4 linked regions of the Tribolium castaneum genome follow. The protein of the gene in region 2 binds, or shares a complex with, the protein of the main gene of each other region. Links are inferred from orthologs where the notes say so. Each region holds a gene or a part of one and is shown on either strand. Other genes may lie near its edges. The genes, in order: thoc7, thoc5, Ref1 and Hpr1.

The links.
Region 1: the proteins of thoc5 (region 2) and thoc7 are in contact, whole or in part, in a cryo-EM structure (PDB 7APK), measured with the Homo sapiens proteins. The link is inferred for Tribolium castaneum from reciprocal best matches to the Homo sapiens genes THOC5 and THOC7. Residues at the interface, in NP_001002877.1 of Homo sapiens: Pro48, Asp51, Tyr52, Tyr55, Cys59, Leu62, Gln63, Met66, Ala67, Gln70, Phe95, Lys99, Leu101, Asn102, Ala105, His106, Arg108, Leu109, Gly112, Arg113, Gln115, Thr116, Ala119, Lys120, Val123, Tyr126, His127, Leu130, Leu133, Glu136; in NP_079351.2 of Homo sapiens: Ala21, Asp23, Ile27, Leu30, Val31, Phe34, Tyr50, Met53, Leu54, Leu57, Cys60, Glu61, Met64, Gly65, Thr67, Leu68, Val70, Tyr71, Asn74, Met78, Tyr81, Ile84, Tyr85, Ile88, Glu89, Ser91, Ile92, Ala95, His96, Lys98.
Region 3: thoc5 (region 2) and Ref1 share a complex: the UniProt entries of both Homo sapiens proteins name them as parts of the transcription/export (TREX) complex. The link is inferred for Tribolium castaneum from reciprocal best matches to the Homo sapiens genes THOC5 and ALYREF.
Region 4: the proteins of thoc5 (region 2) and Hpr1 are in contact, whole or in part, in a cryo-EM structure (PDB 7APK), measured with the Homo sapiens proteins. The link is inferred for Tribolium castaneum from reciprocal best matches to the Homo sapiens genes THOC5 and THOC1. Residues at the interface, in NP_001002877.1 of Homo sapiens: Tyr52, Arg113, Lys120, Asp124, His127, Leu128, Gln131, Asn132, Leu134, Tyr135, Glu136, Met138, His139, Thr145, Lys146, Glu149; in NP_005122.2 of Homo sapiens: Glu60, Arg145, Arg146, Leu147, Ser148, Ser150, Gln151, Lys285, Met286, Leu289, Val296, Tyr297, Phe298, Leu302, Ser304, Leu307, Leu310, Gln311, Ser313, Asp314.

What each region holds. Positions count from the first base shown.
Region 1 is NC_087397.1:9,556,544-9,563,315, forward strand, and holds thoc7 (THO complex subunit 7 homolog), read left to right. Parts: upstream 1-1,463; 5' UTR 1,464-1,584; coding exon 1,585-1,621; intron 1,622-1,674; coding exon 1,675-2,288; 3' UTR 2,289-2,409; downstream 2,410-6,772. Other genes in the region: alpha-ketoglutarate-dependent dioxygenase alkB homolog 6, read right to left, coding at 2,410-3,057; arginine-hydroxylase NDUFAF5, mitochondrial, read left to right, coding at 3,253-3,544, 3,591-3,742, 4,083-4,422, 4,537-4,679, 4,730-4,882. UniProt on the Homo sapiens protein: Component of the THO subcomplex of the TREX complex which is thought to couple mRNA transcription, processing and nuclear export, and which specifically associates with spliced mRNA and not with unspliced pre-mRNA.
Region 2 is NC_087399.1:3,175,100-3,183,123, forward strand, and holds thoc5 (THO complex subunit 5 homolog), read left to right. Parts: upstream 1-2,774; 5' UTR 2,775-2,873; coding exon 2,874-2,957; intron 2,958-3,008; coding exon 3,009-3,146; intron 3,147-3,198; coding exon 3,199-3,413; intron 3,414-3,461; coding exon 3,462-3,546; intron 3,547-3,592; coding exon 3,593-4,265; intron 4,266-4,587; coding exon 4,588-5,088; intron 5,089-5,137; coding exon 5,138-5,253; intron 5,254-5,301; coding exon 5,302-5,465; intron 5,466-5,511; coding exon 5,512-5,575; 3' UTR 5,576-5,611; downstream 5,612-8,024. Other genes in the region: PolD2 (DNA polymerase delta subunit 2), read left to right, coding at 6,220-6,592, 6,676-7,476, 7,527-7,645; uncharacterized protein DDB_G0290685, read right to left, coding at 7,770-8,024. UniProt on the Homo sapiens protein: Component of the THO subcomplex of the TREX complex which is thought to couple mRNA transcription, processing and nuclear export, and which specifically associates with spliced mRNA and not with unspliced pre-mRNA.
Region 3 is NC_087395.1:19,978,381-19,985,417, forward strand, and holds Ref1 (THO complex subunit 4), read right to left. Parts: upstream 3,200-7,037; 5' UTR 3,088-3,199; coding exon 2,905-3,087; intron 2,800-2,904; coding exon 2,376-2,799; intron 2,301-2,375; coding exon 2,203-2,300; 3' UTR 1,960-2,202; downstream 1-1,959. Other genes in the region: Arl6IP1 (ADP-ribosylation factor-like protein 6-interacting protein 1), read left to right, coding at 1-105, 154-410, 457-675; sedoheptulokinase, read left to right, coding at 5,189-5,189, 5,446-5,678, 6,985-7,037. UniProt on the Homo sapiens protein: Functions as an mRNA export adapter; component of the transcription/export (TREX) complex which is thought to couple mRNA transcription, processing and nuclear export, and specifically associates with spliced mRNA and not with unspliced pre-mRNA.
Region 4 is NC_087399.1:4,611,212-4,619,270, forward strand, and holds Hpr1 (THO complex subunit 1), read right to left. Parts: upstream 4,451-8,059; 5' UTR 4,349-4,450; coding exon 4,310-4,348; intron 4,263-4,309; coding exon 3,591-4,262; intron 3,545-3,590; coding exon 3,321-3,544; intron 3,273-3,320; coding exon 2,258-3,272; coding exon of another isoform or gene 2,136-2,257; 3' UTR 2,110-2,135; downstream 1-2,109. Other genes in the region: rRNA N6-adenosine-methyltransferase ZCCHC4, read left to right, coding at 733-993, 1,039-1,481, 1,526-1,810, 1,856-2,090, 2,136-2,261. UniProt on the Homo sapiens protein: Component of the THO subcomplex of the TREX complex which is thought to couple mRNA transcription, processing and nuclear export, and which specifically associates with spliced mRNA and not with unspliced pre-mRNA.

The sequences.
Region 1 (6,772 bases), on a different chromosome or scaffold from region 2:
TATAAGCAAAACAATAATAATCAACAAAGGAAATAATGTAACTTGGTTATGATTTTTTTCTTTAATGACGTCAGTGGTGTTATCACCATGCTCAGAACATAACAGAGACATTTAAAAATTCTCCGGACACGCGGTCTTCTCCTGAATCGTTTAAATCCGATGAGTAATTGGAGATTCGTCGACAAAATAAGAAAAAAGTGAACTTTGAACTGCTAAGATCATAATTTTCGACGGATTTTTGAAAATATGATTACGGGATTTAATTTATTGATAACTAAAGTATCCACGTTTATTAAAAATGTGATTTAAATAATGAATCAAGTAGTAATAAAATAATAATAAACAAGGAAAGTACACCGTTATCAGTCATGTTTACTTTGGTGTACTTTACCCTTTATTAATTTTTTCTCATTAGACACGTGAAATCACCTAGAGTAAATATAATCATCAGGTGATCATTCCGTTAGTACCTGTACCGATAGAAACCAGATATTAAATATCTTGCAATGCTTCAAGTTTGATATAATTGATAAAATATAAATAAAACAATATTTTAAAGCTTAATTAAATATGAAACTACGAGTTACGTGTCTAAAAAGTAAAAACTATTTAGACTGTTTATTGTAAGATTTACCGAAAATTCATCTTATTTTTTTGTTTTGAATTTAAATTGTGATGACCTTTCTAGACCTTTCTGTTTTTTGTCAAATGCACATCGCGTATGAAATACTCTAATAGCGATAAAAAATTTTGAAATATGTCTATCCAAAATAATAATAAATAAATTACCCAAATAACAAACATCATTAAAATTGAAATTAGAAACTTTTTGCTTTTTTGTGAAAACAGAAAATAGCACAAGAAATAACTTGTGGTAGCAAAAACTGGAGCAGATTCACTTAAAATGTAAAAATCTTTAATACATAGTTTATTTTTTGTTGAATTTTTTGAGGTATTATTGTGTTTACAAAAACGGCCAAAAAATAGCTTGCGGGAGCAAAAAATTGCACAAAAAAAGCTTTCAGGAGCAAAAACAACTCAAAACAAATAGGTTGCGACAAAAAAAATGCACAAAAAATTGCTTACAGGAGCAAAAAACGACACAAAAATTTGCTTTTTTGTATTTCCGGGACTAAAGTTGGTACTTTAGAAGCTTAAAGTTCGAGGGCTGTCGTTATGCAACGAGCGTATGCGAGACACCTAGACACCTGAGAACTTTAAGCGTTTTTGCATAAATTATTATTCAAAATTTTTTGTTTTTGTTTAAATTTAAAACACGTTGCTATGGAAAGCGTGTTTTAAAATAGTGAAAACATTCGTAGCCGATGACAAAATCACCAAAATACGTATTATTTAATAAAATAAATTATAGTCATATTTTTAAATGATTTACGCTTTATAAGCTTTTGTTATATGCAACCATTAAAACACTTATCTCAACATGTCCTCTAATTGCTATTTCTAGTAATTTTTGGTTTAGACTTTCGATGCAACTGTTGGCAAGTGCCAACATTTGACAATTTGTGTCATAACCTCAAAAAATACAAATTTTTCGGCGTCCACAGTGCAAACAAATCCGCCTTAATGAAACAAAAGGACAAACGTGGTACCATGTCGGATGGTAAATACTTCCCTTATAAAATTACTAGTGTGTCCAAACAGTAAAACTTCTAGAGGACATTATCAAAAGAAAGTTACTCATAGACGGTGACGGAACCGGCGACGATCGCAGGCTCAACGTAATAGCAAAAACTCTTCGAAAATGGGCAAATTCCACCGAAGACTCCCCCTTAGAGAACCAAGCAACCCACGACAAACTACTAGCACAATTAAGCCTTTGTGAATACTCAGTCAGGAGATCCCAACTCCTCACAAGAACCACATCGCGTCAGCTTGAAAACTACAAAAAAATTTACGACAAATTTGAACAGCAAATCAGCGAAGTAAAAGACTCAATCAAACAAAACAAAGACAACTTAGTACAAGCCAAAATATGGAAACAAAACCACATGATGTACGATTTGTTGGCACAAAGTATTGCCGAACAGCCAGCACGCAAGGAAACAAACGAACGCCTTTCGAACTTACAAGCGGAACTGAAAGAGTTGCACAAGGAAAAGGAGCTGCTGGAGCAGAAACTGGACATGAGGAGAAAACAATTTCACGTGCTGGTGTCCAGCGCCAGCAAATTACAAGCAATGTTGGAGGAGTCAAACGAATATTGCCATAACGACAGTCTACTTGAGGATGTGGCGGACAGCACAGGCCCTGAACCCATGTCTGAATAATTTAAGTTGGTAAAAGTGACAATTACCACGGTTACTTAATTTATGTTAGAAAATCTGACAGTTACCATGGTTACATGTCATCAGCTATGTTATTTTAGGCGAATAAAAGCAAGTACAAAAATTATTTGAATAGTTTTATTTTAAGCACCTTAGTCACATTTCTAATGGTTAGAGAAACTCTCGTGTCTCTTTTGACTTTATCGCCAATGGCGTATTGTTTCTCACAATTTAGTAAATTTGCACAGCCTTCATCAATAACATCAGTTTCAATTTCTCTAATGGAATGGAGGTATTTAGCGTACATGTCGTCTTTAATTACAACTAGACTACACCTTTCGAGAAGTAATTGGCAAACTTTAGCACGACTTTCGTTATTTTCTAAAAACTCTAATACTGTATGAGAGCCACACGAAATGGTGGCAATAGTGGGATAAAACAGTGGCCCATCAGTGTGTGGCATTATGCCTTGGCCGGGAAGATATTCGTTGATTAATACTTGATTCGGTTTGTTTCCCTCAAAAACGTTCAATTGAGCGACTTTTTCCATGTATTTCGTCAACCAGTTTGGTATTGCTTCCGGAATCATGCCTTTCTCGTGGGGCACGCCCCCGTAGTCTTGCAGTCTTCGTTTGGACAAACACGTCCACTTTGGTTTGGGCACTGAATACACATTTTTCAAAATGTGGGCCTCCTCTTCAGGTGTTACAAAATTTGGAATGTAGTAGACAGTCGGAGGGGCTTGTAACACTTGAAAACTGCTCAGATCCATCGAACACACAACAGTAAAATAAATACATGTAAGAATTTGGAACAGAAAAATGGGGCGGAGGGCTAAATCTAACTTCAATCACAACAGTTGACATACATTTGACATTTGGTTAACCTCAAAATCCTAAACTGTCATTGTGACAATTATGATTTGTTGTGCTGAAATGAGTTGTTTTTAATTCATTTAAACAGTGTCATGTCTTTGGTTAATATAGTTTTCCGTTCACGTAAATCCTCTTTGACAAAACTCCGCATTTTGAAGAATCTTAAAAAAGCGAGACACTTTTCGGTCGGTGCTTTAATTCACCAGAAAAATGACGAACACATTATGCATGTGTTTGATAGGAACACCAAGAGTTTGCAAAGGGAACGGGCGGCTTCCGCACAAGACGCCAATTTGTATGATTATTTGAAAGATGAAATTGGCTATCGACTAGCAGACAGGGTGTTTGATATCAAACGCAAGTTTAAACTGGCCGCAGACATTGGTGAGTTTAAGTTCATACAGGAAGAGGAAGGTTAAACCTAAATTAGGTTGCAGCAGGGGCTACGTGTCCAAACATATTTCACCAAAATGTATTGAAGAACTAATCTTATGTGATATGAACCGCTTTAATTTAGACAGTGTTCAAGTACAAGAGGGTATTAAAGTTAGGAAACAAGTACTAGATGAGGAACACATTGAGGTGATTGAAATTTCCTGATCAAAGTAGTCTCCGACTTTAAAATTAATAAGTTGGCGACAATGACGCCCTTGTCAGCATACTCATGTTGCCAACCTATTAATTTCAATGTCTCAGCTACGGATCTCTAAATGTTAGGATATCAAACGAAGTACAAGTAATAAGTTCCTTGATAGTTCCGTTAATGTCGCCAGAGAGCGGCAGTTGTTCCATTGTAAAGTTTAACCCTGCATTTTTTACAAGTTATTAGGGAGTTGGTTTGATTTAAATCCTGCAAGTTTGTATCTCGTTTAGTCTCCTAGCCATAATCCTCTGTAACTGGTTTAAAATATATTACATTCAGTTTGAGCCAAACTCCCTTGATCTGGTTATATCAAGTTTGAGTTTGCATTGGGTGAACGATTTGCCGAACGCTTTTAAGCAAATTTTAAAATCGCTTAAGGAGGATGGTGTTCTTCTTGCGGCGGTTTTTGGAGGAGATACTTTATATGAGTTGAGATCTTCCCTCCAGTTGGCTGAATTAGAGCGTCGTGGAGGCATTTCTCCTCACATATCTCCATTTACCGAAGTTAGAGATATTGGCAATTTGTTGACAAGGGCTGGCTTCACAATGCTCACTATTGACACTGATGAAATTGTTGTGAATTATCCTACTTTGTTTGAATTAATGTGGGACCTTAAAGGTTAGGGTGATTATACCGGGTGACTATTATCACAGTGTTTCCAATATAGTATTTTGTACAAACTGTTATAGTCACCCGGTGTATTATTATTGTTTTTATAATGTGAGTTTTTAGGAATGGCAGAGAGTAATGCTGCTATTAATAGGTCGCTTCATTTGCACCGAGAGACTCAGTTTGCTGCAGCAGCAATTTACCAACAACTTTACGGTAAAACTGATCCTGAGACGGGGAAAACCACAATACCTGCCACTTTTCAAGTGCGTACCAAATTATTTTATTTATCTAATTTGTAGTTAATCATTTTTAGATCATTAATATGTTAGGGTGGAAGCCCCATCCCAAACAACCTAAACCACTAGAGAGGGGAAGTGGGGAAGTATCATTAAAGGATTTGTACAAATTGGATGAAATCATTAAAGAAGTAAAGAAGATCAAAAACGACGATGATCAGAAGAATTAGTTTAAAGTCATTAGATAAAATCTAGTTTGGTTTGTATATTTTGACATGAAGTTTCTATATTTTATTGAAGTGTTGAAACGAAAACGTGTCTTTTTACACCTAGTCGTCGTGCATTTGGATAACATTTAAAACATAGCAAACAACAAACTACAACAGATAGAGAATTACATTCCCATAAGTATGATGCAAAAATTTTATCGTAAACTATATTAAAAAAAAATCAAACTTTCACCAATTTGCACGCTGCGAATTAAATCCTACAAAAAAATCCGTGAGACTTAATTTTTTTGTTGTATTTCTTGTAGAAATTTGTCGTCAGTTTTCCTTAGCCTGTTAAGAGTGAAAAGCTCAACATTTCTGCGTTTTTTGTAGTTATGAGTGAATTGGTTGGATTTAAAGTAATTTCAAACCATGGCCTCCTTGATGTATGGAGCTTTAACAACCTCCATACATCAAGGAGACCATGACATGCAGAGATGACACGGTAAAGTTAAAAGATTTCTGTAAAATTGCAGTTTCAATATTAATATTAGTATGCGTTAGATGGTGACATCTAGGTTCCAGGTACTAAAGTATAATTTTACAGAATTCTATAAAGAAATGTGCATCATTTATGTATACTTTTTAAAATAGCGGATTACAGTAACCTGTAAATTTTTTAGTATTACATAGTTTAATAAATAATTCCAAAACCAAAATTTGTATCAGGATCACGAAAACGCAAGAAAATCTTTACATTTTTTCACTTCTTTGAATGCTTGTAATGCTAATACACATTTTGGTTTAAAATTATTGCAGAATTATTTTATTTAAACTTCTGTATAGTTGGTTGCCTATATAACTTGTCAAAGATTGCAAAATTTTAGAAATTAAATTCGTAGTGAATCACTGGAACCCCAAAAGGTCTAAAGTCAATGTTTCTGTGATTTTAATAAACATTTTGGTTTTAAATTTTTGTTTGTTTAAGGTTTTATGGGCTTGGTTTTAGGTTGTGAGTTCTCAAGGGCAATTTTTACATTATCTAGGAGACTCCAGGGCCATTATTTACTTGGGAATTGTATCCTGATTTTGGTCATCATTGAAGAGTTTGCTCTTATCGCATTTTATGGTACTGAAAGAATAAAATCCGACTTTGAATTTATGTTGGGGCCCAATTTGCCGATCATTTGGTTGATTTTTTGGTGGTTGACGACCCAAAATGGTTAATGTACTGGATGGGATTTATACAGTCACTAAAATGGATGGTTACACCACGGTAGATGTGAGTTTAAAATTTTTGGGCCTGGTGTATATTTTAATTTATGTTTTGTGCAGAAATTTAAAGCTTTGTTTAAACGGGCGCACCCAATTTTGCAGTTCACTTGGATGCAGTGGAAGAGTAAAGCAAAACAAAACGAGAGGGCACTGGAGAATACAGGGGAACGCGAAAAAAGCAAATCAGAATCGAACGAGTAATGGATACTGAGTATGTGGACCCCTACTACTATTTGAAAATGAACAAAATAAGATTAAGCCTCCAAGACTGGTTATAAGTTGTCGAGGACGCAATTCATAATTGTTTCAGTTCGGAAGAGGTGCTTTTAGGAATGGGCCATATATTATTCCAGACACTAATATAACGCATGTTTGCCACAGGAGGTTTATTGAAAGCGAAGATACCACAGAACTGTAATTTTTCCGAAATTATTTTTGTATATACCGACTTATATACCAAGATATTACATACTTATTGTTATTTATTTTGTTACAGTTTTTTAATAAAGTGTTAAAATTGTGTTTTTTTTTATTTTCCTTCATTAATAACTTTTACTCAATTATCTAAATAATTATCAAGTTAGGCAACCTAAACTTTTGCTTGTACAACTGGTTGCATAATGTTTGCATTTTTTA
Region 2 (8,024 bases):
ATCTTTAAGCAACGTAAAAGTGGTGTAAAAAGTCAAAGTCGCTCTCTGGTGGCCAATTCTGATGTCAGTCTTTTGCAAAATAGCGTAAAATTTAATGTGACATCAAATGTGATAATTAAACGACAAGCAAAACGTGAAAAATTGACACTAGCCCGGCGCATCCACCATTTTTGAACATTGAAAACCTCGCTAAAAATACTTAATAAGTAAATTCTTCGTTAAAGTTAAAACTTTTGCGCTTTTTGGTGATCAGTTCTAAGATCAGTCGTTTGCAAAATAGCGGTAAATTTAAATTTGTGTCACAAATTTTGTGACAAAGTTGAGATTTTACCCAAAATTATTGTTAACCCGGCGCATCCACCATTTTTAAGCAACGTAAAAGTGGTGTAAAAAGTCAAAGTCGCTCTCTGGTGGCCAATTCTGATGTCAGTCTTTTGCAAAATAACGTAAAATTTAATGTGACATCAAATGCGATAATTAAACGACAAGCAAAACGTGAAAAATTGACACTAGCCCGGCGCATCCACCATTTTTGAATATTGAAAACCTCGCTAAAAATACTTAATAAGTAAATTCTTCGTTAAAGTTAAAACTTTTGCGCTTTTTGGTGATCAGTTCTAAGATCAGTCGTTTGCAAAATAGCGGTAAATTTAAATTTGTGTCACAAATTTTGTGACAAAGTTGAGATTTTACCCGAAATTATTGCCAACCCGGCGCATCCACCATTTTTAAACAACGTAAAAGTGGTGTAAAAAGTCAAAGTCGCTCTCTGGTGGCCAATTCTGATGTCAGTCTTTTGCAAAATAGCGTAAAATTTAATGTGACATCAAATGTGATAATTAAACGACAAGCAAAACGTGAAAAATTAGCGCTAGCCCGGCGCATCCACCATTTTTGAACATTGAAAACCTCGCTAAAAATACTTAATAAGTAAATTCTTCGTTAAAGTTAAAACTTTTGCGCTTTTTGGTGATCAGTTCTAAGATCAGTCGTTTGCAAAATAGCGGTAAATTTAAATTTGTGTCACAAATTCTGTGACAAAGTTGAGATTTTACCCGAAATTATTGCTAACCCGGCGCATCCACCATTTTTAAACAATATAAAAATGGTACAAAAAGTCAAAAGTCGGCTCTCTGGTGGTCAATTCTAATGTCAGTCGTTTACAAGATAGCGTAAAATTTAATGTGACATCAAATGTGATAATCAGATAACAAGAAAAATGTAAAAAAATAAATGTTATCCCGGCGCATCCACCATTTTTAAACATTTTTTTATGCCAGAAAAAAATTAGTAATGTTAAACTTAAGGTTGTTGCGCTCTTTGGTAGTCAATTCTGAAATCAACGTTTGCAAAAAAGCGTGAAATTTGAGTTTTGACATAAAGTTGAGGTTTAAAATATGATTTGAATTTAATTTTTAGCTTACCAATTTTTTCAACTTATTTTTCAATAAAAATCGTTTTTTTTTTTAAAATATCCCTTGGTTTTCCACTGTAAAAAAACAGGATTCAGTGACGAATTATATAGTAAATTTTCGCATTTAATCATTTTTAAAATCCTCTTGAAAATATCAGTTTATAATCGAATATAGTGCGGTAAAACTTTTATTAAAATAGTGGAGTGTTAAGAGCGTAACGAGTTTGGCAACAAAACTGTTTACCTAAATGAAATTCAAAGCAAAACACAAAAACACTTCATTTATGTTTGCGCAGTTTTAATAACGTTTAGCGGTGTTTTATGCCTCGAAACAATTACGAAATAATTAATCTAATTTTTTTATTTTTAATAACAAAGCTTGCAAATTTATATTTTTTGGGGGAAATACATCAAAGCTAGATGGAGCCACTTCTGGCGGCGCATTCAAATGGCGAATAAATCCCCATGCCGTATTTTACTTTGTCCCAATTGTCTCAGAACGTTTTAAAGTCGGCGTTTTCTTTTTGCGGCATAAACCGTCTGTCTAGAAAATTAAGAAATACCTCGGTGAACTAATTCGCGTAAAGTCGTGCGGAAAGCTTTTCGTTCTCTTGTATAATGTGTTTTCGGACAGGCGATAAAATTTTATCGTCGTCCAGCAATATTTCCTACGTGTGATCCTATGTAGTAGTTCTGACGCGACACCTTTTTTATCATCTTGAGAACCCGTCCACATCCTCGATAACCAATACAAGAGAAACGTGCCACTGCAAACCTGGTCCTTAGCAAAATGGATGAGTAGTCAAGAACATCCAAGTCCTATCTTAACACTGCTCGATTTTATACCTGGAGAATTTTACGAGCGCTCGCGTGTAAACAACACTTGGAAGGAGATTGAAAAATACTACAAAAAACTATTAAATTACGAAGTTTACACGATTAGAATAGCTCCTGTTTATTGGGCCAAGTAATTATTCGGGGACCGATAATTGCTTTAATTCGGGCGGAAAGCGGCAAGAAGTGCGCGATGTTTAATTAAAGCAGGTAAAAACGCGTTCAAATTTCGCGCCATTCACAATTCACCCATATTTAGTGAAATAATCACGAAAATCGCCCTTAATACAATAGTGATTACCATTTACAGTCTTGATATTAAAAAGTGCGATTTTATTTTTTTTAATGTTTTTACACGAACGACAAGTCCGGTACTCTGAATGATTATATAACGACCCAAATGTTACATAATCCGATTACGTAACAACTAATAATTGAAATTATCCAAATTATTTATAATATAAGTCGCAATGTTTGGATTTTGATTTAAAAACACAGAAATTAATTCGTTTAAACCAAGATGTGGTGTCCTGAAACAAAATGGCGTCTGTTGTCTGTCAGTTTGCGCATTTCTAACCTCAAATTTTTTGTCGGCTTGTTTACATAATCTTTTTTGCTTAAAAAAATGGTTAAAGAGTCAAGTAGTTTGAAAAAAAAGCGCAAAAGTGGGACTAGTGCCGACAATGAGGCCGAAATCGACATTTATAAAGTAATTACGCCTCCCTAATTTTGGTTATCACATTTATTGATTTTTTTGCAGAAATCGGTCGAATTTGAGGAGAAAGAGGCCCTCAATCGACCGAACGATACCGACGCTCAGATTTACTTCAACACGTGCAAAGAAATTCGGCATTTATTCGCCGAAATAAGTGAACTGAAAATGAAGAGTGGGTCTGATGTAAATTGGAATTTTGTCGCTTTTTTGTATATTTTTTGGGTGTGCTTTGTAGGTCAGGGCTAAAATTACGGAAAAAACCACCGAAGTGTGTCTATTATTGGTGCTTTTGAAAAAACTGAACCGCATGGAGAAGGTGCGTTTGGTTTTTCCAAAAGAACAATTGGCTGCGGAAAAACAAAAAGTGGACAGTATTAATTTACAATATCAGAACTTGTTGTACGAGGCTAACCATCTGATGTCGGAATATCGCAAATGTTTCCAGTTCAAGTAACGAAAACCCCCTTTTTGTGTAAACCCCCCAAAAATTTCTTTCAGGTCTAAAGACGAGCACATCGAGCTGGTCCCCGTTGAGGAGTTCCTCGCCGAAGCGCCGAAAAATTTAACGACAAAATTCAAAAAAGTTGGTTTAATTTTTTTAATTTCAAAAACTTTAAAAAAAATTTTAGTTTGATGAAACCGACGAAATGGCGAAGCACGAGCTGCGGCTCGCGCGCCTCGAGTGGGAGCTCCAGCAGCGTATTCATTTGGCCGACATGTGCAAAAAACTTGAAGAGGAGAAGAAAAAACTAGAGGGGGATATTGCCGAACGTCGCAATAAATTGGATAAATTGGGGCCCCTCTTGTCTTCGGTCATGGAGGCCACGAAACCGGTGCAGGAGCACCTGGGGCTCCACATTGACAAGATCCAGGCTGAACACAAGCTTGCCTCGCTTCTACCCAACCCCCTTTACTTGTTTTATGCCAATATTGACGCCTACAGACAGGTGAACGACTCGGGGATGAGTGTGGAGATTATGGGGGACCAGGAGGAGGCTAGTCAATGGAAGGAGTTGGAGTTGGCAGAGGATGAAGAAGAGGAGGAGGAGGACATGGAACCGGAAGCTGAGATACAGGAGGTGGAGGAAATTGTCGAAACGAAGAAACGGCGTCACCGGAAGTCGGTACATGTTGATCCACTTGAGGAGAAAAAACGCAAGTTGTTACAAGTTCACCCGCTTTCTGTACAAGTTACTGTCACTACTAAAGACGGTCCTTCAATTAAAATTCGACTAAGTTATTACGCAAAATTGGAAATCGTCACTGTATCTTCAAGCGTCAATATTCCGAGCAATATTACAGGTACTTGACCCACTATCTACAAAAATCCTCTTTTAGACAAAAAAAAACGGATAGTTACAGGTATTTTGTGAATGATAAGGAAAAACAACATAAACTACACCTTTTTTACTTGGTTTGTTTTCCGTCTCTATTTACAATTGAGTCATGTCCTGTTATTATCGGAATATGCTGAAATTTTGCATACTCACGTAATATCCGTGAGCGTGAGCAGCAAAAAATTCTTCTCGCTTTTAAAGGGAAAATCATACTTTCTTACTTTTTTACTATAATGGAGGAAAAAATGCAAATTTTTTTTAGTGACCCCCGAGTGTCTTTCTTACAGGAAACGCAGCTCGTGAGGTCTTATCAAACGAAAGCGTCCTCGTGGAGCTGGTGGAGGGCGACTTCGGGCTGGACAGCCCCAACCCGTGCACCCCTTACCAACTGAAAAAAGTCGGCTTGGGGTCCTTCCAAAGCCTCGTCCCAGAGCTTGGCTACGTCTACACGTGGGCGCAAAAAATGTGCGGCATTGATTTTTTGAATAAAATGTCCGGTTCGGATCAACTGAGCCAAACTAACGTCGAGTCGGTCATGAAAACAATAAAAAAGCGCCTAAAGTCGCGGTATGCCTTGGCGAAACAATTGGAGGAGTTGGAGCGGAATGTGATTCCTGTTTTGCCGGCTAGTGTCGATTTGCCGCGAACCACGATTTCGAGTCTTACGAAATGGTCATCAGGGACGTATCAAAGCTTTTGCGAGGCTAAATTTACGGAGGGTTTGCTAGAAGCTGAGTTAATTTCGCCGAATGATATTTTCTATAAAGCGACAATCACGCGTGATAAAGGTAAGTTTGGTGAGTCACGTGATTAATTAGTGTTTTTTTTGTATTTTAGCAAATTTGCAAGCTTTTGTTGTTATCAAGAACGATTATCCGTCAATTCCACCAATTTTTGCGCTTTGTTTGAACTATAACGGGACTAGACATTCGCAGAATGATGATAATATTCGGGTTTGTTGGTAATTTTGGGTTTTTGGGTTGGTCTCACTCGTTTTACAGGACATGGAACGGTCGATTAATGTCGATTGGAACCACGAATTTTCAAATGCAAATTGGCTTTTGTCGGCCCAGATTATGTCATTGTGTGTCGGACTGGACATTTATCTGGAAACGGAGGACCCTGGGACGTTTCAACAGAACACCATGTATATTAAATCGACTTGGTAGGGATTTTGAGTTTGTTTTTTGGGGGTAATTTTGGTTTTTCAGCGCCAGAAATAGGAGAAAGCCGTTCAAATTCAGGAATATTGGGGTTGGGGTCTACACCCAATGAGTTTTTTTTTTTGACAAATAAATGAGTTTTTTGAATCGTGTTGTGTTTTTACTTTTGCCGCACTTTTTACACTTACCCTTTTCCTACACGTCTGAAGCGGGAGCATTTAACAATAAATAAAAACATTTTTCACTACACAAAGTTTTACACAGGCGTCGCGACGTCACAATTTTTTAACTAATTGTTGTACGCATGCGCTGTGGCGGGCTACTAGCTTTTTAAAGTTGGCAACACTTGCAAAAACGCGCGTGGCTTTCCCAAAACCGAGTGCTTTTGTTAAATTTGTGTGAATTTAAACGTGTCTGAGAGTTCCCCTCGTCAGAAAATAGCCCCACAGTGGTAACTGGTAAGTGGTTTCTTTGTTTCCCTCTAAAAAATTGAGAATCAATTGTCAATTCACACTTTTTGTTGGCAATCTTTTTTCTCGCGCTATGACGGCGACGCCCTAATTTTTATTTCATAATGAAATAAAATTTAATCGGTAGAATTATTAAATTACTTCAATTTCTCCGATTTTGATCATTTTTCCACCAAAGTTGGTATTTAGTGCGTAGTGTTGGCGACCCTTTTTCAAAAAAAGCGCGAGTTACATAACCTCAATCGGTGACGTAACCTCAAAGTTTTTGTTTGTGTTTTTTGCGAAAATGCCTGAAAGACTGTCGTTAGAGTACGAAAACTTGTCTCGGAAATGGTCAGAGGTGGCCCCCGACTACCATAAGCAATACTTTAATATCTATTTGGCGCGGCTTAAAGAAATGACTGCGTTACTCGAAGTCAATATTGCGAAAAAATGGGGTACGCAGTACCCCATTTGTAAATTACACAAACTATCCGAAGAGAACCACCCGAAATGTGTTGTCATTGGGACATTGTTTAAAAATCAGAAATTAAAACCGTCGATTTTGAAACAATTGGCTGAGGAGGACCAGTTGGTGCCCCAGCCCATTGTGACCCATTTTACGGACAAGTCCGACGAGCTTTTCATCGAGGACGAGTTGCAGAGATATCTGATCATAAGTAAGAACCTAATCAAGAGTGCTCTGATAATATTAATAGACGTCTTTAGGGCACTTTTGATTACGTTTTTTCTTAAATTGTAGGTTGCATTCCTTGCGATTATCTCGTCACGGGCATTTCATGCGCTCTCTTGGGGACCGCCGACGACAAGGGCCGTTTTATAGTCGAAGACTACACTTTCGCCGACTTCCGGCCCCAAATCCCGCGCCCCCTTTTGGACGACTCGGCCTTTGTTATTTTCCTAAGCGGTCTAGATTTAGTAAACAGCCCCCAGTGCGATTTAAACCTCCAACTTTTCACATTCTGGCTGTCGGGTCTTTGTGACGTGGCCCCTTTTCGAGCCTCCAAAATCACCCGTGTTATTATCGCCGGTAATTCCATTCGTAACACCCCTGAACAAGTCAAACCTTCAATTTCGATGTTATCACGTCGGCCTGAATCTTCCGATTCTATTGATGCAGTTAAACTTCTCGACAAATTTTTACTCCAATTGGGGCAAGTCATTGACGTCGATGTGATGCCGGGGGAGAACGACCCCTCCAATCGCATCCTCCCCCAAAAACCCATGCATCGCTGCATGTTCCCCCAATCGGGGGTTTACAAGTCGGTAAATCAGGTCTCTAATCCGTATTTTTACTCGCTTGGGGGTGTGCGTATTTTGGGGACGTCGGGACAGCCAGTGAGGGATGTGATGAGGTATTGCGAGATTACGGACCCTTTGGAGGTTTTGGAGAATTGTCTGAAGTGGGGGCATTTGGCCCCCACGGCCCCCGATACTTTGGGGTGTTTTCCGTTTTATGATAGTGATCCGTTTATTATTGAAGAGTGTCCACATGTGTTTTTCGCGGGGAATCAGGAAAAGTTTAGCGCGAGGGAGTGCACAGGTGACTGTTTGGCCAGTTTGGGGAAGGTTATTTGATTGGGTTTATTTTAGGGCCTGATGGACAGAAAGTTACACTGATTAGTGTGCCAGAGTTTAGTAGGACTTTGCAAGGCTGTATTTTGAATTTGAAGACGATGGAGTGTAATTCTATAAGTTTTCAGACGGTGTAATTTTTTTTGTATTTATAATTCAAAATAAAGTATTATTTTTTAAAGTGTTTTTTTATTGTGTCCTTACAAGCTACAAACGTAAAAAACAAGCGCCTACGTACAATTCGTAAAAACACAAATTAATTTAAGCAAAATAATAAATTTCCTTTTGTAGAGGTACAGATTCGTTAAAAATTTGAAGCGCCGGAGAATTTCCAACGTTGTCGTTATTCCCATCTTCATAAACATAATCTTCATCTTCGTAAATATTTTTTTGTTTTTTGTCTTTATTTCTTCTATCGGTTTCTTCATTTCCGCCGTCATTATCATTACTACTGTTCCTCTCATCCTTATCCTTGTCTATAATATTTTTATTTTGAAGTTCATCTTTCTCATAACT
Region 3 (7,037 bases), on a different chromosome or scaffold from region 2:
TCCGGAAGTTGAGGCATGGGTTAGAGAACTGGAGGGAGATCATCCTGGGGGCTAAGAGGGTGTTAGTTTGGGAGAAGCAATGGCACCCCACTGCCATTGTTGGCGGTAAAGTGGGCCCCCATTAAGTGGCAGAGGCTGTAACTGATGTTTCAGGAAGCACAATCCTTTTCACGTTTTTATGGTTGTTGGATCCGAGTATTTTGACAGTATTTTCAGTTTTTGGTTTAGTTTTGACCATTTTTGATTATTTGATTCCGTCAATTGGTAGCTCTATGTTTAAACCGGAGATGTGGACGGCACGGAAAGAACAGGAGTATGAGGAGTTTTGCACTAACGTTATTTTGTATAAAGCTAGATTAGAGTTGTCTTGGGCTCGGTTTTATAAAATGAAGAGCACCAATCGAAAAATGGTATTTTATTGTGGTCGTGTCGCAATGTTTGATTATTTTCTTTTAGTACTTTTTATTGACTATGATTACGTTGAGTGCACTCGCTTGGATTGGATGTACTTTTAATAACTTGTTTTTGTCGTACGTTTTCGTAACTTTTCTACTCCTCTTCCCAGGAATGGAACATAATGGGATAATTACAAAATGGAGTGAATACGTCGGTACTTTTCTGATGGAATTGATGCGACAAACTAAGTCAAAAGGTAGCCAAGAAAAGGACGATTAATTTGCTCAATAAAATTTGTTCTTTTATTGTTGTGTGATACTTTTGACTGATGTAATTTAAAATGTAGTTTTATACATAAATAAATAATTTTCTAATGAAATGACAAGTCACACTTGGAGCCTTATTTATTCCCATCAATACAAGAGGAAAAAGCCTAACACTAGTTGTAGTTGTAAAAAAACAACTGTATGTAATCCTCGTTTTTTAGTGATATTTCTTATAAAATGTTATGCTTGTTGCAACTAAATGCAAAACACTATTTTCATTATTTTTTATTGTTTTTAAGTTCCACACTTATACTTTTAGCAAACCATTTTTAATTATTTTATTCCGTCAATTGGTGGTTCGATATGTTCAAGCCAAAGCCTTCCGGCGACACGGAAAATACAGGAATATAAAAAGAGTTTTGCACCAACGTTATTTTATTATTGTTTTTTGTTCCACATATAGAAACAATTTGTGCTCAAGCACGTAAGATGTTAGAACTCATTTATTTTACACGAATAAACAATAAAGGTTTCAAAAATATTAAGTCTTTGGACATATTGTAGGCCACGTTTGGAATATATAGTGGTGTCGTGGTTTCCATTTTATTATAATCAGATTAATGCCCTAAGAACATGTAGATTTTGTTTATAAATATCTACACTAGATTAAATTCGGTAACTATGCGGAACAAGGATATTCACACAAAATACTAGGCGAATTTAAAAAAGTTGAATTATAGGAACTAAGAAAACTTAATGTAATTTAATTTTGATACAAAATTGTGAACATTACAAGCAGCCACAAGACAGCTCAGTTACTATAATTATTAATCTTACACTGTTGCTTAATAAATTATTATTTTCTTTTAGTATTCTTTATTGATGAAAATTACGTTGAGTGCACTCGCTTCGATTGGATGTACTTTTTGTAATTTGTTTTGTCGTATATTTAGTAATATAAACCCTAAACGCAAGTTCTCACGGACCCACTTTAGTTGTTCAATTAAAGATGAAAATTTTTAATGGAAATCATCGTAAAAAACTTGATCCACTTAAGACACAACAAAGATTCTGACGATGATTTTTGTTGAAGTTTTATTGTTCAACTTGAAATAAACGACTAAAATCGATCCGTGTCAACGTGCCTTTAGCGACAACTGTTACAAGATTTATTATGGTTTTAAATCAAGATTGAAGGCGATTAATTTTTTATACAACTCGGTCTTAACGTCATGTGATACATTTGGCTGATGCAGTTTTATGTATAAATAAAAAAAATTTCTAATGAAACGACAAGTCACACTTAATTCTTATTTATTCCTATCAATACAATTTACATTAACAAGAGAAAACAGCCTAACACTAGATTTAGTTGTGGAAAAAACGAACCGCATACGTAATCCTCGTACTTTAGTGGTTATTTTTTATAAAATGTAAGGCTCGATGTTACAATCAAAATACAAAATAAAAATACGAAAGAACTAAACACAAGTCACAAAAAGTGGCGCGTTGAGCGTCTCTGATATTAATAGCACTTATTTTATTTCATCTCCTTGGTGTAGGCGTCTAATTCAGCGTCGAGTTCTTCAGCTGTCGGTTGTTTCTTTTGATTTCTGAAACTTCGTCCTCCTCCACGACCTGGCAAACAAACATTTGTTTAGTTGAAAAATCCGGCTGTTGGAGGCGTCGCCGCCGCTGGTCAAGTAATTGTACCTCTGTTAGGTCGTCCCTTGGCAGGTGCAGCCCCTCTTCTGCTTTGGAACTTCCTCTCTCCCGTGGGCCTCCTGACCGGCGACGGAATCTCCGACGTGATGATTTGAATGTTCATGGCGCGTCCGTCGAGAGGCACTCCGTTGTACTGCTTCATGGCCTTAATAGCGTCGGTGCGCCTTTCGAAAATCACATCAGCGGTGCCGAGCGACCGCCCCGAGCGGTCATAGTGCACCGAGGCGCTCTTTAGCGGCCCAAACTCGGCGAACAATTCCTGAATATCCGAGTCGGAGACCGCAAAGTCTAAATTGCCCACCATGAGCTTAGTGGGGCCCACATTGGACTGCACAACGGCCCGAGCCGCGGCCACTTTACGCGGGCCGTAGCCCTCGAACAGATCGTGCTTCCAAGCACTGTTCACATCTCCCTAAACAAACATGGATGGGGGTAAATTCCGGCTCTCCGGCTGGATGCACGCTAGCCGCTTCCATCGCGGGGCAGCTTAAGTATAAACATAGTTAGAAACAATTACCCGGGTGTACTGGCGCGTTATTCCTCCGCGTCCTCGGCCCCTTTGGACGCCGCCGGCTCTTCGGAACGTGCCGCGTCTTGGCGCGCCACCCCCGCGGGTTCCGCCGCGACCTCCGCGACGGCCGCCGCGCCGGGGCTTGGATTTTATTATCTCATCTAAACTCATTTCAATTGTGTCGACCATTTTTACTGATTTTGTACGCTGATTTGACTGAGAAATTCACTTTTTCTACACCCGGCGGCAACGCACACAACCAACGACAAAATGGCGTACAAAATGAACGACAGACGCTGTGCGCATGCGCCACGTCACTGCGCTGTCGGCAACACAGGAACCTGCCCGGATTTTACCAAAAAAAAATACGACCGCATGTATTAGGCAATTTTTTGCATTTTCAGCATAATACAGAAACAAAGAATAAAAACTTATTTTTATGTTTATGAAATAGGTAACCTATTTACACCAATGTAAAAACACCGCTGTATTATTGGTTCCCTATACATTCAATTTTTTTCAAACTTTGTTCTACCAGTTTATGTAGGTAGGTATTTGTAAATGAAATTTTGTTCTTCTACCTAATGTATGTTAAAATATTGTCAATACAAAACAGATGTTTATTTATATTGACTCATTAACACATTTTAGTGTTTGAAGAATCTTTGGCAGAATTGAAATATTGTGTAATGTTAGACTTTCTTTATTTGATCCATTAAAAGTAAAAAAAATCAAATGTGAACACGTTTAAATTTAAAAGAAATTTAAAAAATGTAATAAAAAAATATTAATTTAATTTAAAAATTCCAACAAAACAAACACTCACGCGAAAACGTTTAAAGTTCTCGGGTGTATATTATGTAACTCGCATACGCTCGTTTGCTCAAATCACCGTCTGTTAGTCATATAAACTTTGGGAAAAGTACTCAAAAGACGCAATCCCAATTTCCTAGTTGATATTGCGTTTCTGATTAATTTTTAGACGCTGAAGTGAAAGTTTCAACCTCTAATATCCCAAAAAATAATAAAAGTTTGGATTAAGTAGTTAATTACACAGTAATTAGATGTCAAAACACAAAAAATATTTATTTTTAGTTAGTTAATAATTTGTTCATCAGTTAACACTTCTCTATTATATTAAATACTTACTATCAACCCCGACATATTTCTCAAAATTCTGTGAAAAGTTCGTTATGAACGGAAAACTAGTTCGTTTTATCCGTAAGTTCTCCACCACTGAAGTTTAATCCTGAATTAAATTTTATTTGGCTTTGTACAGTAACTAGTCCCTAAGACTATAAATTTAGTTAATTAATTATTATATTGATTTTTTTAATTAATTAATATTTATTGTAAGGAATTGTAGAATAATCCTGAAAAAAATCACATGCACAGAGAAAACTGTAAAGCACCAGATGATCCTAACATATTTTTGATTTTATAGTTTTATTGGGTTATATACAAAAATACATTCACTGAGATTAAAGATCTCAGCATAATAATTTAAAGGATCGGTTGAATCCTGAGAGGTTTTTTTAATTTTACTCGTGTTAATTTTAAACAGGTGCACAAACTGTCTTCTTCATTTATCATCATTATCAAATTGGAAGTCTGTTATCGCCGTTATTGTAAGTAGGTATACTCGAGGGCCACTGATACGTGTCAATGTCATGACTGGGTGAGTTTATCACAATGCACCAGTTAATAAAAATTGTTATATTTACGCTCTGATAGATGAATCTAGATAAAAAAAAATTGGAAACTGTTTAATCTTGCAGTTTGGAATTTTTTCTAATAACAAATATTATTTTACGCCGCTCCTAAAAATATCGAGTAGAGTACAGGTCAAAAACAATGTCCACTCATAAAATTCGAAAATTAATCGGATCAAGTGAGCGTGGGTTTGTTTATGCTCATTTATCATCTGCACGTTTACATGGCAGAAATTTATTGAAAAGTCGTTTCAGGATTAGTTCGTTTGAGGAACAATAGATGTCTCGTATCAATTAGTGTACTTAAGTTAATGTTACTTTATTATGACCACATTATGACTGAGTGTGGTTCTATTTCGTACGTGAACAGGGTCACGCCGAAAATGACGCAAGTTGTGTCGGCAATCAATAGCAGTCGACTGCCGTTTTATCCAGCCGACGAATCAAAATCTCTTCGTGACCATTTCTCCAACGATAAAAATAATATTTGGCACTTAGTACAATAGAATAATATGGTACAATTATGAATGGGCGTTTGTTTTAATAATAGTCGTGGGGACGCCGGCTGAAGACTGGTAAGTACGTATCCTAATTAAAATTTCTCTAGAGGTCAAGTTTTCTATCTGTAGATCGTCCGTTTGTAGCTATTTCGTGAATTTAATAAACTGATAAAATAATATTTTGAGTACAACACAAACATTATATCGTGTTATGTTTAACATAGTTCAATTCACTCAATCAGTATGTGTTTACATACGCTCGGGTATATATTAAACCGCGAACTTAACTTTATCTTAATCTACTATTTCGCATCTGATAAAATTTAATTATACAGTGAGCGCCATGGCCGGCCCGGGGTACGTCCTAGGCGTCGACATCGGCACCACTTCGGTCAAAGTGTGCGTTTTCAACCCCGAAAACAACGAAATCGTCGCTCAAATCGGCAAGGAGACACAATCGAACGTCCCCAGTGACCAAGGCATCGACGGAAACAAACAAGACGTCCCGAAAATCATTTCCGCCCTCAACACGTGCGTGGCCAAATTACAGAAAAATCTGCTGCAGCAGGTGAGCTGACCTTGCCTTATCGCCGGCAATTCCACGTAAATATTATCATTAGCCGGAAGGCCGCATTCACCTTCAGTTTCGACCAAAAAACTTTGCTTGTGCGAAAATCGCACAACTACAATAGATAATTCAAATAGATATATATTTTTTTGAGTGACTATTTGTAGTAGAAATTTACTCGGACGAGGTGAGTAGAACTATAACTAAACGAGCAACTTCCTATTTGAAGGCATGTGGCAATCGAGGTCTTTTATTAACAGCTCGATTAAAGCACTAGCGAAAATCTGTTGATTCTCAACAGAATAAACTTCCAGCCTCTTGTAAGTACGACGGAAGTTCAAAGTATTATCGATATCAGCAGGAAGGAAAAAGAATAACAGCTTCAAATATTTTTGTTGTTTAGTACAATCCTCCGTAACATCAGTGCACATATTGCTTCTCGAAATTAACATTTCAACTCCCTTTAACAATTTTTTTCTTTGCTTAAAAAATTTGCCCTTATTGCTGTATTGAGCTTTTTATTGTCACAAGATCGACTTCTACGAACATCTTTTTTAAATTAGGACATGGGAGTTAATTGGGGGTTAAGTACGTACTGTAGACTAAATGGTTAATTTCTTCGATCCATAATTTCATACAACTGCCGGTTCTTTCACTGACCTTCATATATTCATTTGTGGTAACATTTTTATCCGTATACATCTTACTATACAAGATTTGTATTTTTTTTTTATAGTAACCGATTTGGGTTCTTTTTCAAGACCTTGACTAATGTTTATTTCTTTTTAAGTCACTTGACCAATTTTGAATCGTACATATCAAAGATGCAGAATCTTGGTAAACTACCACCATCACTTCGTAAATCACTTTTTGACTTTTTCTAAGGTTTCTTCCTTGTTTTGTGTGATACTTGTCAAGAAGTAGTATTATTCATTGCATTATATCAATTGCTAAAATCATTAGCCTATCACTCCATTACCGATAATACTTTTAATATAGAAAGGCCTACTAAGAAAATGCCTGCACATGAAATGATCTGTACAGAGATTGTGCAGAAAACAAAGAAACTCCTCTTCATCTGAGGCACCGGCCTGTTGTTATAGTTGAGAGGAGGCACACAATGGGCTATGTTGCTTCAGTGTGCGGCTCAGTACTCGGACCCTTCTTGTTTACAAAAAAATCCAGTTCTGATAATTAAAGTAACGGTGTTTGTTGTTGGTGGGTCCGAAATGAGCTTTTTTCATTTGATGTCTACCGGTGGATATAGCTCTTTCAAGTGTTTAATCACTATAATCCCTCTCTTTAGATAACCAAAATCGGGATATGTGGGCAAATGCACGGAGTCATGTTCTGGAACCA
Region 4 (8,059 bases), about 1.4 Mb from region 2:
AAACGAAAAATATTTAATACTAGATAAATCCACTTGTACCAAGTGTTTTGTCACAAATATCGATTATTAGCCAATTTCGTTTATCGATTGTTATAGGTGTAGCAAATAAAAGGTTTTCAAGTAGTATTATTAATTATTTAAACACTGAAAACTGCTTTTGTCAGCTTGGTGCTTTAACATTTCTAAAATTTTCCAAAAATTGTATTAAAGTTCATCAGTTTATATAAATAAATTTATCGAAAACAAGAAATAATTTATTTGGTTCGAAGGCAAAACAAATTTCTTCAACAAAAAGGTGGTAAAACGACTTTTGGAGGCCGTTCAAAGACAAGCAATTATCCCAATTATCGCACTTTTTTATGCACTGTAAGCTAATAATTTACCTACTTTTGAATATTACAGATACATAACAAATTAATCAATTAGAGTGAAGTTTCATAGACTCACTTTTAATTAATCTGAACCAAATAAATGCCAGAAAAACCGTTTAAATAATCAACAAGATTGGAAAAAACTGTAGTTATCTTCCTAAACGTCTTCTTTAATTAGTTTTGTAATTTATTTTTTCCGGAACTTTAAAATAAATGGAACAATCGATATTTTTTTAATTTTTTTTTTCAAATTTAAATTTTTCTTTTTTTTGAGGTTGGCAGTGGCACTCGTGTGCCAAGAAGTAGGGTTATGTTAGATTCAATCAGTTCGTAATTTCTTAAATAACAACAAATTAAAGGTATGTCAGGCGTGGAAGTGATTACTGACGACTTGCAAAGCCACCCCTGGTGCTCCCACGGCCCCACCCTCCTTTTTTCACGTACTAGTAATGGGGTTAAGAGACGTTTTTTCGCCTGTTCGGCCTGCAGGGACCGCAAACTGTGCCCCTTTTTTCTGTACGAAGACGAAAAACATAAATACAAATCTGAGGGGTGGAAAAACGAGCGTGAAAAATTTCTTCGGAATATTGACCACAGAAAATTATTTATAACTTTAAACCAAGTAAGATTTTAAAAAATGATTCGGCTGTTTGAGTGCGTTTTTTAGATGCGTCAATTACCCCCAACTGATAGGGCATACTGCCATACGTGTGCCGGCTTCCAATTGAAAAAATTCTGGGACAAACATACCGAACATAATTTTGTTACAACAGTTAGTGATTATGAAATTGCACATCCGAGTGAGTTTTTGCCCCCTTTGGAGGACGCAAAGAAGGAGGCACAGTTTTTATTTTCACTGACTTCGGTCCGTGTGATCGTGGACATTTTTAAAAGTTTAAATTACCGCAAAGTTATTAGTTTGGGGACCCCCAGGATCCACGAATTTATCACAAATCAGTGCCCTGATATGGACACACTTTTACTAGATTTCGACTCGCGGTATCACAATTTTTACGGCCCGTTGCAATTTTGTTGGTACAATAGTTTCAACAACCATTTTTTTCTCCCCGAGTCTCAACAAGTGTTTGAGGATTTTTTAAAAACTGAGAGGTGATTAAAGCGCTACGTCTATTTTTTTTAATTATTTTTTTCAGCGATCTCGTACTGATTTTAGACCCACCTTTCGGGGGTCGGGTCGAGCCCTTAGCCCACACAATCAAACAAATCAGCGAAAAATACAATCAACTGAATGAAAAAACAAAATTGTCGGTATTTTGGGTATTCCCCTACTTTATGGAACCGCAAATACTAAACAGCCTCCCCGACTATTCCATGCTCGATTATAAAGTCGACTATGACAACCATCCTTTGTTTCAAGACGGCGCTAAGGCGCGGAAATTTGGGTCACCCGTCCGAATTTTCACGAACGTGGACCCGAGGTAAGCCGACGATTTTTACGAACTTTTCGGGACAAAAAATTGTAGTAAAATAGTCCTTCCGGCGAATGAAGGCTACAAATTTTGCCAAGAGTGCAACAAATGGGTTTCAAACGAAAACAAACACTGCCCCATTTGCCAGAAATGCACCTCGAAAGACGGCCGGACGTACACCCACTGTCCCATGTGTGCAAGGTGCGTTAAACCGAGTTGGCAGCACTGCGAAAAATGTGGTCGGTGCTGCCAACCGGACCACAAATGCGGCGACTTGGTCTTTACTCAGGTCAGTCTCAAACTCCCAATTCAAGGTTTAATAATTTTATTAAAGGATTGTTTCCACTGTAAACAACCGGGGCACAAAAAACGGGACTGTCCCAAGGTTGATCACAAACAATTACATATGAAACGCAAATTGAAAAGTAAAAATAGGGCGAAACGAGTTAAATACAGTTAGGAATCCATCGAATTGATTTCATTTCGGACAATTTCCGCCGCCTCCTCCATCTCCAACCCTTCCAAAATGTACAAGAAGTTGTCCAAAGTGGCATCTTCGTCGTCATCGAACCACAGTTGTAGCATATTACGGGCCTGGTCCACCTCTTTCTCATTTTCCATACTGAAGAACTGGATTTCGTCAGTTTTGAAGCCCAACTTGCTGGCTAGTTTTTTCCAATTGGGGGCCACTTTCTCGCTGAAGAGTTGCAACTGGTTCGGGTTTAATTTATGCTCGACTCGCGCGTTCTTATCGTCCATAAATTCCTCCGTTTCGGACGGTTTGATGTCTTCGGTGTTTTCATCAACTTGCGTGTCCTTAAACAAATTTTCTTCCTCGGCGTCGTTTTGTTGCGACTCTTGCGAATTTTCGGTCACGCGACCTGGCTTATCATGCGCTATTTTCTTGACCATCATCTCCAAATACGAAGACAGGGGGTTCATAATCACAGTACTGTAGGTGAAAAAGTGGGGGCTGCGCTTAGCCAAGAGTCTCAAAGCCCGCCACCCGTAATTCCCATCTTTCAGTAAATTGTCTTCGTCTTTGACTGCGCCAGGTGACTCGATTTGGGCGATGGCATCGGCGAAATAATCCTCAAGTGTGGGGAGAAAATCGCGCTCTCGGCCTTTACAAGCCTCCAAGTTATCGGGGCATAGGTTCCACAGTTTGGTCAGTTCGGTGCTTCCCATGTAGTATTTGCCCTCACTGGAGGCCTGTTTAATGATGTCGCCTAAGAGAGGGCGCTCTTCGGTTCGGCGCTTGTCGGGGCTTTCCGTGGGAACCACCGATTTTTTCAGTTCGGGACAACCGTCGTTCTTCCAAGCGTTCCAATACTCCTCCCGACTTAGAATATTTGAGGCGATTTCGGCAAATCGTTTACCGTCTGGAGGAGTCTCGCGTAACAAACTGTAGACTTTTTCGGTGCTTGATTGGATCCACTCTTTTTGGTCCGACTTTAACTCGAAACTTTCGCTAAAAAAATAAATTAAAGGTGCGTCTAGTTTAAAGAAACCGACTCACGATTTAAATTTTACGGATGATGAAAGGTACTGGAATAAAATTAAAAACTGCAACAGGACGGCGCGCCGAAAATTGACGTCGTACAGTTGCAAGTCGAGCAATTTTTGGCTCGTCAGGTACTTGGAAAAGTACATTTTATTTTTACTTTCGTCACAATAGCTCCCGTTATTTTCCACGTGTTCAAGCTTGAGGCCTTGGAACGTGTTAAAGACACTCGTGGCGTACTAAAAAAAATAATAAAAATCGGTTAAAATGCGCAAAAATAATTACGGTGCAAAACAGTTTCCATTGCACTTTAGTGTACAACTGGTTGGGGTTCCGGAAAAAATCCTGGAGCGACCAAAACTTGCAATAAAACGTGAAATCGATCACGTTTTTCTTTTCGTCGCCGTCAACGTCGCCCCCCTTTTCCTGGCTCGAGTCCGTGCCATACTCTGTCGTGTTTTCCAAATTAAATTCGCTCACAATATTCAAACCTGAACGTTCAGAAAACGGGAAAAACTTGGCCAAAAAGAGGAGAATTCGGCCGCAAAAAACGGTCGCCGTGGACCGAGATAACCGCCTCAATAAGTCGTTACACAACCTGAGTAAATTATTTTTGCAACAACTGAAAAACAAGTTCTCTTTCCACACTTCGACATTGTTCTCTACGTAGAGGAACATTTCCTGACAGGCGTCCAGCGTTAAGGCGTCAAAAATGTCCGAAAGGAGCATCACTGGCATTGTGGGGTTGCTCAGTTCCTTGCGACATGTTAGGACGCTAAAATCGACCAACTCGCGTAAGACTGAGACGTTGACTTCCTTTTCAAGGAGTTCGAGTAAGACGTCGCGGAACGCCTGGTCCAGAGGGGCCTTAAGGTCGATGGCGGACTTCGACAAGTGTTTGGCTTTAGTTTCGATCAAATCGGTGGTTTTGGTCTTGAAAGATTTGCGTAAAACGTCCTAAAAACCGGGTTAGAAGTGGCGTTTGAGGTTATGTCGGGGCCCACCTGGTATTCGACCCGTAACGACTCGAATTTGCCCCCCATTGCTTAAATGCAACGCTTGGAGGGCCCCCAACGTGAAAAACGCTCAATTTCGTGTGAAATACTTGAATAAGCGACCGGAATCGTCTTGTAAACAACTGTCAAAGGTCAAAAATAATGTTAGAGTCCGCGAAATGACAGATCGTCCACGGTGGTAGGAGTGCGCAGATACGAAAACTCGTCTCGGACGAGTCCAATCTTTAAATTAGGGGTGTTGGCAGAAAACAGTGGCGTGGCGTGTACTTACATGTGTAGGGAATTCGTCTTAAAGTTTAACATTTCAATATTACCAGTTATAGTAAAGATACCAGTAGAAACATTTTTTGCAATAAACGCGTTTTTACTCTTTACTCATTGTGTATTTTTATTTATTCGACCTCTCTGCTTTGTATTTCTAGGAAATCAACGTGTATTAGCATTAGATATGATTTTTACTATTTCATCTTGCAATTATTGAATAGAGGAAATTTTAACTACTACAAATTATGAATCTCAAACCCTTCTTGATCATAGAATGGTTTTTTGCTACGCCACTGCTCAATCTCCTCACTCGATGAAGTACGCATTGGCTCCGCCTATCGTGGTCGTTTACAGAGTTTCCGAGCTCTACCACTAATTTTCGCACTAAAATTTCACATTGCCAGTTTCTGTTTAAATATAAACATGCATTTTTATTTTTCCATTAACTGCATGCGAAACTTTTATAATTTTAGACGTTTATAGACAAATACATTTGTCATAATTAATTTTTCTAGATCAATACTGTTCTATTTTGAATAATTCTGTGTATGAATGTTTCTAAATTTGACGGATTTGGACAGTGAATGTTTCTGGTTATGACCTGTTTTAGACGTGTGATGACGTCACATCCGAGGTTAGGTGTGCGGCGCAGGCGGCGAGGGCGGTTCAGTCGACAGCGAGCAGTGGTACGGGTCAGATCGGGAGCGGGAGCGGGAGGCGAGGCGAAGCGAGGTGAGTCGGTTTATTTAAATTATTGTGTATTGTGCGGTTTCGTTCAATTTATTCAGTTTGTTACTTGCCGTTGTCGCGAACGGACGTGTGTTCAAGCAAATCTAAATTTTCCGGTTTAAATTTTCAATTCGGTGGCTAGTGATCGCGTTTGAGTGACACATTTTAAATACAGTAAATAAAATTATAATCAAACACTCAAATAATTAATTGCCACGTAATAATTTTGTCTTTAATTTCAATGAATGAAAGTGGCTTGCTCAAAATTTAATGCAAATAAACATTTTTTTGGTTTCAATATTATTATTATTTTTTTTTAATGCTACAAACGGTAGCCAACGTGGAAGCGATATGAAGGTAGGTGTATTTTATTGCTGTGTCGTATTTATTTATTTCTCAAACCAATAATTTCATAAAACTTAATTGCAATTAAAATCTTTAAATGCGGTGTTGAAAAGTGATATTTTGAGTGACACATTTTAAATACAGTAACTATAAATAAAATAAAACACTCAAATAATTAATTGCCACGTAATAATTTTGTCTTTAATTTCAATGAATGAAAGTGGCTGCTCAAAATTTAATGCAAATAAACATTTTTTTGGTTTCAATATTATTATTATTTTTTTTTAATGCTACAAACGGTAGCCAACGTGGAAGCGATATGAAGGTAGGTGTATTTTATTGCTGTGTCGTATTTATTTATTTCTCAAACCAATAATTTCATAAAACTTAATTGCAATTAAAATCTTTAAATGCGGTGTTGAAAAGTGATATTTTGAGTGACACATTTTAAATACAGTAACTATAAATAAAATAAAACACTCAAATAATTAATTGCCACGTAATAATTTTGTCTTTAATTTCAATGAATGAAAGTGGCTGCTCAAAATTTAATGCAAATAAACATTTTTTTGGTTTCATTTTTATTATTATTTTTTTTAATGCTACAAACGGTAGCCAACGTGGAAGCGATATGAAGGTGGGTGTATTTTATTGCTGTGTCGTATTTATTTATTTCACAAACCAATAATTTCATAAAACTTAAATGCAATTAAAATCTTTAAATGCGGTGTTGAAAAGTGATATTTTGAGTGACACATTTTAAATACAGTAACTATAAATAAAATAAAACACTCAAATAATTAATTGCCACGTAATAATTTTGTCTTTAATTTCAATGAATGAAAGTGGCTGCTCAAAATTTAATGCAAATAAACATTTTTTTGGTTTCATTTTTATTATTATTTTTTTTAATGCTACAAACGGTAGCCAACGTGGAAGCGATATGAAGGTAGGTGTATTTTATTGCTGTGTCGTATTTATTTATTTCACAAACCAATAATTTCATAAAACTTAAATGCAATTAAAATCTTTAAATGCGGTGTTGAAAAGTGATATTTTGAGTGACACATTTTAAATACAGTAACTTTAAATAAAATAAAACACTCAAATAATTAATTGCCACGTAATAATTTTGTCTTTAATTTCAATGAATGAAAGTGGCTGCTCAAAATTTAATGCAAATAAACATTTTTTTGGTTTCATTTTTATTATTATTTTTTTTAATGCTACAAACGGTAGCCAACGTGGAAGCGATATGAAGGTAGGTGTATTTTATTGCTGTGTCGTATTTATTTATTTCTCAAACCAATAATTTCATAAAACTTAATTGCAATTAAAATCTTTAAATGCGGTGTTGAAAGTGACATTTTGAGTGACGCATTTTAGATACAGAAACTATAAATAAAATAAAACACTCAAATAATTTATTGCCACGTAATTTTGTCTTTAATTTCAATGAATGAAAGTGGCTGCTCAAAATTTAATGCAAATAAACATTTTTTTGGTTTCATTTTTATTATTATTTTTTTTAATGCTACAAACGGTAGCCAACGTGGAAGCGATATGAAGGTAGGTGTATTTTATTGCTGTGTCGTATTTATTTATTTCTCAAACCAATAATTTCATAAAACTTAATTGCAATTAAAATCTTTAAATGCGGTGTTGAAAGTGACATTTTGAGTGACGCATTTTAGATACAGAAACTATAAATAAAATAAAACACTCAAATAATTTATTGCCACGTAATTTTGTCTTTAATTTCAATGAATGAAAGTGGCTTGCTCAAAATTTAATGCAAATAAACATTTTTTTGGTTTCATTTTTATTATTATTTTTTTTAATGCTACAAACGGTAGCCAACGTGGAAGCGATATGAAGGTAGGTGTATTTTATTGCTGTGTCGTATTTATTTATTTCTCAAACCAATAATTTCATAAAACTTAATTGCAATTAAAATCTTTAAATGCGGTGTTGAAAGTGACATTTTGAGTGACGCATTTTAGATACAGAAACTATAAATAAAATAAAACACTCAAATAATTTATTGCCACGTAATTTTGTCTTTAATTTCAATGAATGAAAGTGGCTTGCTCAAAATTTAATGCAAATAAACATTTTTTTGGTTTCATTTTTATTATTTTTTTTTTAATGCTACAAACGGTAGCCAACGTGGAAGCGATATGAAGGTAGGTGTATTTTATTGCTGTGTCGTATTTATTTATTTCTCAAACCAATAATTTCATAAAACTTAATTGCAATTAAAATCTTTAAATGCGGTGTTGAAAGTGACATTTTGAGTGACGCATTTTAGATACAGAAACTATAAATAAAATAAAACACTCAAATAATTTATTGCCACGTAATTTTGTCTTTAATTTCAATGAATGAAAGTGGCTTGCT